Ovis aries: one gene and its partner. The protein of the gene in region 1 interacts with the protein of each later gene in a pairwise test. Links are inferred from orthologs where the notes say so. Each region holds a gene or a part of one and is shown in the gene's direction. Other genes may lie near its edges.

Region 1 (4,059 bases):
TCACCACTGGTAATCATCGTATTAATTTTTGTTGGGAATTCCCTGGCAGTCCAGCGCTTCGGACTAGGTGCTTTAACTGCAGTGGCCAGGGTTCAATCCCTTGTCGGGGAACTAAGATCCCACAAGCTGCACGGTACAGGCAAAACAAACAAACGAAAAGACTGTTATGTCTTGCACTCCCCCGTGGATACTATTCCATGCTATGCTTAGTTACTCAGTCATGTCCGACTCTTTGCGACCCCATGGACTGTAGCCCTCCAAGCTCCTCTGTCCTTGGGGATTCTCCAGGCAAGAATACTGGAATGAGTTGCCATGCCCTCCTCCAGGGGATCTTCCCAGCTCAGGGATCAAACCCAGGTCTCCCACGTTGCAGGCAGATTCTTTACCGTCTGGGCCACTGGGGAAGCCCCTGTGGATACCAGGACTGGTGACACCTGACTTGATTCTCGTGGGCTCCGTGACTCGAGCTGAGCACACAGCAGGTGCTCAACTGCTCTTTGGGTAGGAGGTTCCCCAGCAGACTGGACAGCGGCAAATGTCCCCACTGCCCTAAATCTTACTCTCCAGCCTCTCACCCACGTTCCCTGCCATGCAGGGTCTCAGCTTGTTGTTCAGGCTCTCAGTCATTTCTGATTCTTTGTGACTCCATGGACTGCAGCACACCAGGCTTCCCTGTCCTTCACCATCTAGAGTTTGCTCAGACTCATGTCCGTTGAGTCGGTAATGCCATCCAATCATCTTATCCTCTGTTGTCCCCTTCTCCTTTTGCCCCCAGTCTTTCCCAACGTCAGGATCTTTTCCAATGAGTCAGCCCTCTGCATCAAGTGGCCAAAGTATTGGAGCTTCAGCATCAGTCCTCCCAATGAATATAGTCCTTCTATAGGGTCTCGGCTGCTGCAAACCTAACAGATCGAATCTTTTTGCTCAGTGGCTTAGGAGAAAGCTGTTCCAGGCTGGCAGGACAGGAGGAGGGGAGCAGAGCCTCTAAGCTGGCAGACAAAGGGCGTGTGTTCTTATCCAGTGCACTTCCTGGGTTTCCATTGCAGGAAGCCGGGCACCTGCCGAGGTGACACAGACACCAAGGCTGGCGCTAGACTCCCTTGTCCGGGACGCTCCTCTCCCCCCGGGAGCAGCAGCAGAGGTGGGAAAGAGGTGCTGGACAGTTGGTAAGTGGCAGCAGCTGGACTCCACATTCCCCTTGGACCTGCCCTCTTCCAAGCCAGTCTTAGCTTAGCAGCAGGGAAGGCTTAGATCCTGCTTGGAGTCAGTGAGACCTTAGGCCCCACATCAACCTCACTGTCCCACCTGGAGGTGTGGTAGGTGCTTAGGGGAGGTATCATGGAGGTGAGGGGAAGGTAGCAACATTTTTATTTGCTTTAAATAAGCTTCTGAGTCACAATGCACTTTAAAAGGGAGTTCTATGGCTAAAAGGGTCTGAAAACCCCTGGATCAAACCTTCTTCCTTAGGGTCCTTCCCATGGCTGGCATCCAGTGGATTTTTCCTTCCTCCTGGGGAAGGTATAGAGATCTTGTTCCAAGGGGTGCTTGCAAAGGGAGGTAACCTTGTCAAGCAGGGGAATGACCCTGACCACGGGCTCAGGCAGCCTTGAGTGCGAGTCTCTCTCTGCTGAAAAGAGAGGGAGTCACCTGTCTTTGCAGCTTGAAGGGTGGCAGTCTCGCCAGCCGCTGGGACCTGCAGGGTGGCGTGTGTACCCAGGGGCACCTGCTGCTGTGGGTTGGAATCCAGCTCTGCCATTTGCCTCTTGTGTCGGCTTTGAGCCTCTCTGTGCCTCAGTTTCCTCATCTGTGAAGCAGGAATAATCAGCCTTTTCCCATAGGGCTCTCCCGGGAATTAAATGGAAAGGTCTGCAGGCCGAGCATCAGATAGGAAGCCCCTATGAACAGCAGCTACTGTTACTACTGTCGTTATTACAGGACTGGCTGTGAGGATGGAAAGGAAAAAGGGATGCAGAGCAGGATGGGAGAGGTGACCAAACACGAGTGAGGGATTTAGGGAGGCAGGGTGGGGGAGGAAGAGAAGCACAGGACAGGGTGTTCAGCGCCCCCCACCAGCCCCCAGAAGCATGACCCCCAAGAACAGCCCCAGAGCCCTCCAGCCAGCAGCGTGACTGCAGCTTTGGGCCCACAGAGGAGAGCCAGACCCTACCTGGCCTCCCTGCAGACGGTGCCGGCCCCAGCACTCCCCTGGCCTCCGCCACTGTGGCTTTAATCAAAAGAGCAATCTGTTTGCCTCTGAATCAGACCCAGATTCCTTTTCCCAGCAATGTTCCCTGGGCCTCCAGGGACTCAGGCGGCCCATCCAGGCTCCATCTCCTGCCCCAGAGCCCAGGCTGGGCTTCTCCCTCCCCATTCCACGTTTGGGGGACAGAGGAGCAGGAGGCTGGAGCAGTGGAGGGGTCAGATGCCGGGTCCAGCGTGGCAAACCGGGTAATCTGATTGCCAGCGAGGCCCTGTCTACCAGGCTTCCCGGAGGACCCTGTCCCCCCAGGACTCTGGGGACCCACCTGCAGAAGGCGTTAGGGGCCAGACAGGTCATTAGCCCCATTTTAGAGGCGAAGAAACTGAGGCTCAAGAAGGTGGAATGAATGCCTAGTGTCACAGGATTAGTGAGCGTCCGGGGAATCCAGGTCCCACCCGATCCTTAAGACCGTGGGAGATCCCAGGCCAAACTGGTGGGGCCACCACCCCAGGCGACCTCGGGGAGGGGGTTGGGGGAGGAGCACTCTGGGTTCACAAAGGACGAGGAGAGTGGGCACCCGAGGAGGCCGCCCACCCTCCAGGCCTGGGCCCAGGGGAAGGGAGGAGGGGTCGAGGGAACAAAGGGAACGGGGAGGGGGCGGCGCGGGGCGCGGCCGGCAGGTGGGGGGGCAGGTAGGGGCCGCTTCCGCCCGGCCGCGAGCCCGGGCCCCCTCCCCCAAGCTTCACCTTTTATGGTAAGGCGGCCGCGGCGGCGGGGCGGAGGGAGCCGAGGGGGCGGGGAGGGCGGAGGGGGCGGGAGGCGCCGCGCCGCTCCTGGCTCTGCTCGATCGGGTGACCGACCGGAGCCGCAGGGGGCGCGGGCGGCTCAGGTAAGCGGAGCGGGGGGGGGGGGGGGGGTCCCGTCCTGCCGTCCGCGCCCCCGGCTACACACAGGTGACAGCGCGGGCAGCCCCTGGCCGGCGCGCAGCCCTGCTCCCCGGCCCGGACCCCAACTCCGGCGCTCCCAGGGGGGCCCGCGGGGCTGGGGGCCGGGGGTGCGGGTCTCTGCTCCCCGGGCGGAGGGAGGGCGGGTCTGGAGGCAGCGCGGACGTCCCTGCCGCGGAGCGGCTCGCGGAGAGAAGCGGTAGAAGCAGGGCGGGAGCTCCCGCACAAAGAGGACAGCGTCCCGCACACGGATCGAACTAAAGTCCCCGGCGGCGCCCCACCGTGACCCTGCCAGCCGCCCCGCCTGGCTGCTTGCGGGAGGGCGCCGGGCTTCCCAAGGCCCTGGAAGCTCCGGGCCTCTTGCCCCAGCCGGGGTTAGGCGAGGGGCAGGAGGGGCCGCGGAACTGCCCCTCTCTGGGCCTCATATCCTCTGGGGGGGGGGTTGGTGCTGGGAAGGGGTGGGGCTGAGCTATTCCCAGGGTATGTGCCTGGGGCGCCCTGCCCTGAGTCCTCCTCCAGCCCAGAATCTGAGGACCCCGCGGAGAGACTGGGCAGCGCCCGGATCCCTGTTCTTCTCATTGATGGAAGCCAACTCCTGGTCTTCTCAGGGCCCCGGGGGTTCCGCCTCTCCTGAGGTACTGAGTAACTATCCGCTTTCTCTTGGCACCTACCCAGTACCAAGATCTTGAGCACCCCCTCTTCTTTTATGCTCTCAGCCACCCTTCCAAAAAGACCTCATTATTTCCACTCTTTGAAATAACAGAGGCCCAGAGAGGTTCAGTGACCTGCTTAGGGTGGCCCAGCAGGAAAGAGGTGGGGTTGGGGATGAACTCAGCCCTATGGGCCTCCTCCACTTCCCTGGGGTGGGAGAGAGGGAGAGGCCTTTCTGTCCCAGGCTCCAAGGCCAGGAGAGGG
Region 2 (3,521 bases), on another chromosome or scaffold:
GAGAGATATCAGAGACCCCAGACTTAGATCTCAGAGAAAAGAAACTGCAGACTCAGAGGCTGATAACTCAGACACAGAAACTCCAGACCTTGGTTGGGGGGTGGGGGTGGGGGGGCAAAAGAGACACTCTACTAGCCCAGAGATGAACTCAGAAACCCCAAACACATAAAAAAGAATTTTTAATACCTCAGAGAGAGGGTGATTGCAGACCCAGAAACCTCCCCCTGCAAACAAAAAACAAGGACACTCAGTCCTAAAAAAGATACAAATACCAAAAGACCCCATAGAGATCCCTCAGAGACAAACTCCAGAGACAGAGATCTCAGGGAGACCTCCAACCCTAGAGTGGTAAGTATGAGATAACTCAGCCTGGGAAGTTATACCCACCCAGCAGACCAGAGACCCCAGACCCAGGGAGGAGGGGGAATACTAGGTAGGGAAAGTGGCAAAGCCTTTTTCTCCCTGCCTCCTCCCACCTATTTCTCCTCTCACTGGCCCCTCCATTTTTGGGTCAGAGGATGTGCTTGGGCCCCAGGGAGGTTATGTAGGGCAGGTCCTGGCTCCTAGGGGGATGGGTTAAGGGAAGGAGACCCAAGGCTGAGACGTAGACCAGACCCAGAGAGTGAAATAGGAAGGGGGTAAGGGATAAAAGGACCATCACTACTTCCTGGTGTCTTCTTCATACCCCCAACCTGCAGCCCTCCTCTCCCCCACCTTCTCTATCGATTCACAAGTCTGTCTGCAGTTTTGGGGCTTCAGTTAAGGCTGAGGCGCTCCATTTTAATCACTGTCTATCCCACTTACAGGGTCTTAATCCGTTCTCTTAAAAATGCATCTTTCCACCTAGTCGTGGTCTTGCCATGCCCTGCCTGCCTAATCACTTCCCCCTATAACCAGAGACAGTTGGTTTCTCAGATTATACTTGTGCATTCCCCAACTCAAGAATCTGTCAGTCCTAACCAAAATGGCAGGGGGCGCTCTCTTCACCCTCCGGCCCTGAGGTTCAATCTCCTAAGACCCTGTCATTTCTTAAGGCCTCAGGAACAGGGCTGTTACTAGGCACATTCCGGGGTTTAAGGATGAGCCCCCACTCCACAATCTGACGCATCGACTCTGCGGGGTCTCCAGCCCCCCTTTCCCAGCGCCAGGGCTCTCATCATGTGGCCTGCGGGGCGGCCCCGCGATTGGTCTCTTCGCGTAGTTCATTGAGGTACCGCTGCCTGAGGCGACCCGCCCCCTCACGTGACAGTGGAACGCCGCTGCGGCTCTCCTCAACCTGCAATTGGCCGCTTCCGGTTTACACGGAAACGGGCGCTCCATTTCCGTGCACGTCTGCAGATCCTGGTGTTGATTGGTTGGATCCTTCCTCGCCCCTCCCACCCCCGGAGGCGGGACAAACCGGGCCACGTGGGAGCGAGGATTGGCTGGCTTTGGAGGTTAGGGTAGTCCGGTTTCTACTGTCACGTGGTCTGCGCTGTTTTCTTATCACGTGGCTGCTGCCCAGGTAAGAAGAGGCTGCTCTTCTTGGCTTTGGGGTTCTTCCTCCACGTAACGTGTGGTCTCTGATATTCAACCCTCCTCTGCCAGCATAGGCTGCATGAGGCGGGGGCGGGCTCCCGCATTCCTGCTCGGCGGAGGGGTGAGTGATCGGCCCCGCCCCTTCCGGTCCTCGAAGCTTCGCCCATGACCCGTACCCCAAAACCCAGAGGTTGGCCTCCGAGGAGAGAGTGAAAACCGAGTCTTTGCCTTAAATTTTCCAAGCTTCTCTTGGTTTCAGTAATGTTTTTCTTCGGGATGCAGAAGAGGGCGGGCCTGAGTGTTTATGCAAGCGAAGTGTTCCCGGGGTGCAGTTTGCTGGGGTGTTTATGAGACGCCGAATCCACCCCCTGCTCTTAGGCCGCTCTGCTCCTGTCGCTGTTTTGGATGCCGATACTGCTGCCTGCAGCCTCTCGCCTTCTGTTGCTACCCCGAGCCCTGCTGTCCATGGCTTCAGGAAGTCCCCCGGCCCAGCCCTCGTCGGCCTCGGGCTCCGCCTATGTCCCCGGCTCGGTCTCTGCGGCCTTTGTCACCTGCCCCAACGAGAAGGTCGCCAAGGAGATCGCCAGGTGGGGACTTCAGTGTGAAGCGAGGAAAGGTGCTTATGAAGGGAGAGATGGGGGAGCGCCTCCCGCTGCTTCCTGCCTGTCTCTGGGCTGCCAGTGCAAAAATCCGGGTCATGGGGCCTTTAAAAAGGTGCTCTCTCTTCACCTTCAGGGCTATGGTGGAGAAGCGCCTCGCAGCCTGCGTCAACCTTGTCCCTCAGATTACATCCATGTGAGTCAATTAGGGGTTGGAGGGTTAACCTAACTCAAAGAACTGACTAGCAGTCTTTTACCTTGAGGGAAATCTTTGCCCTCGCAACACTCTCTTCCTTACCTTTTCAGCTATGAGTGGAAAGGAGAAATTGAAGAGGACAGTGAAGTGCTGATGGTGAGAAATGTTTCTTACCCGACAAAAACTTAATTCTCTGACTATTTACTTTGACCCCTATCCCTCATCCCAGATCCTGGAATCAAGTTCACCCCCTGATTCAACCATGTTTGTCTTCACCCCTCAGATGATCAAAACCCAAAGTTCCTTGGTTCCAGCTCTGACGGATTTTGTTCGGTGAGAACTTTGATGTGGGTAGAGGTGAGGGTGTAAACTGTGGGGTGAGCCTTCCTGGGCAGTCTGAGGGGACAGACTCCTTTGGGTAAGTCTTTGCTCCCCTATCGTTTCCACAGGTCTGTGCACCCTTATGAAGTGGCCGAGGTGATTGCATTGCCTGTGGAGCAGGGGAACCCCCCGTACCTGCAGTGGGTGCGCCAGGTGACAGAGTCAGCTCCTGACTCCAGCACAGCCCCGCTGTGATGAACCTTTGTTCTTGCCATGGTTTTCCTCATAAATTTCAACACTCCTACCTTGTGATGACTGGACTCTTTAATAAATCCCATTTTTAGTTCTCTCTTCCATTTTACTTTCTCCTTGTCAAAAAGTGAATTTGGTTGGGAAGATCAGAAGTGCTTCTAGTCCCTTTCTTCTCGTTTTTTGGAATGATTCAGGGCTGCTAAGTTTGTTTATTTATCTTTATTTCAATGATACAGAGCCCAGGATCTGTTCTTCTCCCCTCCTCAGTCTCCGTCCCCAGGGGTTAAATAATTTTTAAAAATATTTAAAAAGCTGTAACAAAATAACATCAAAGGAAATGAGGGAATGGTTGGGGGGAAGGTCAGGAACCGTGAAGGGAGTAGAGGAGAGCGAGCCTCTTCCCCAACCCCCAACCTGGATTCCAGCCTGGACAGTAGGGGGACATACCCCCCTAGTGCCCCAGGTACATCCCAGCTGTAGGTGAGGTCAGAGGTCAGGGTATGAAAGTGCCGGTGTGTGTCAATGGGCAGTTAGGCAGAGGCAGGCTGTTCAGAAGATGCCCCCACCTCCCCACTCAACCAGGTACTGCACAGAGCCATCAGGCCGCACTCTCCGAGCAAGGACCCGGACGGGAT

The links.
Region 2: the proteins of FBLIM1 (region 1) and CUTA interact in binary tests that used the Homo sapiens proteins (3 or more experiments, as listed by UniProt). The two-hybrid records come from large-scale screens. The link is inferred for Ovis aries from reciprocal best matches to the Homo sapiens genes FBLIM1 and CUTA.

The regions. Positions count from the first base shown.
Region 1 is NC_056065.1:51,111,826-51,115,884, reverse strand, and holds the start of FBLIM1 (filamin-binding LIM protein 1), read left to right. Parts: upstream 1-1,231; 5' UTR 1,232-2,284; coding exon 2,285-2,448; intron 2,449-2,742; exon of another isoform or gene 2,743-2,954; intron 2,955-3,024; exon of another isoform or gene 3,025-3,779; intron 3,780-4,059. UniProt on the Homo sapiens protein: Serves as an anchoring site for cell-ECM adhesion proteins and filamin-containing actin filaments. Is implicated in cell shape modulation (spreading) and motility.
Region 2 is NC_056073.1:7,748,040-7,751,560, reverse strand, and holds CUTA (protein CutA), read left to right. Parts: upstream 1-1,444; 5' UTR 1,445-1,504; intron 1,505-1,587; 5' UTR 1,588-1,597; coding exon 1,598-1,639; intron 1,640-1,896; coding exon 1,897-2,105; intron 2,106-2,253; coding exon 2,254-2,313; intron 2,314-2,423; coding exon 2,424-2,469; intron 2,470-2,542; coding exon 2,543-2,646; intron 2,647-2,762; coding exon 2,763-2,889; 3' UTR 2,890-2,990; downstream 2,991-3,521. Other genes in the region: PHF1 (PHD finger protein 1), read right to left, coding at 3,436-3,521. UniProt on the Homo sapiens protein: May form part of a complex of membrane proteins attached to acetylcholinesterase (AChE).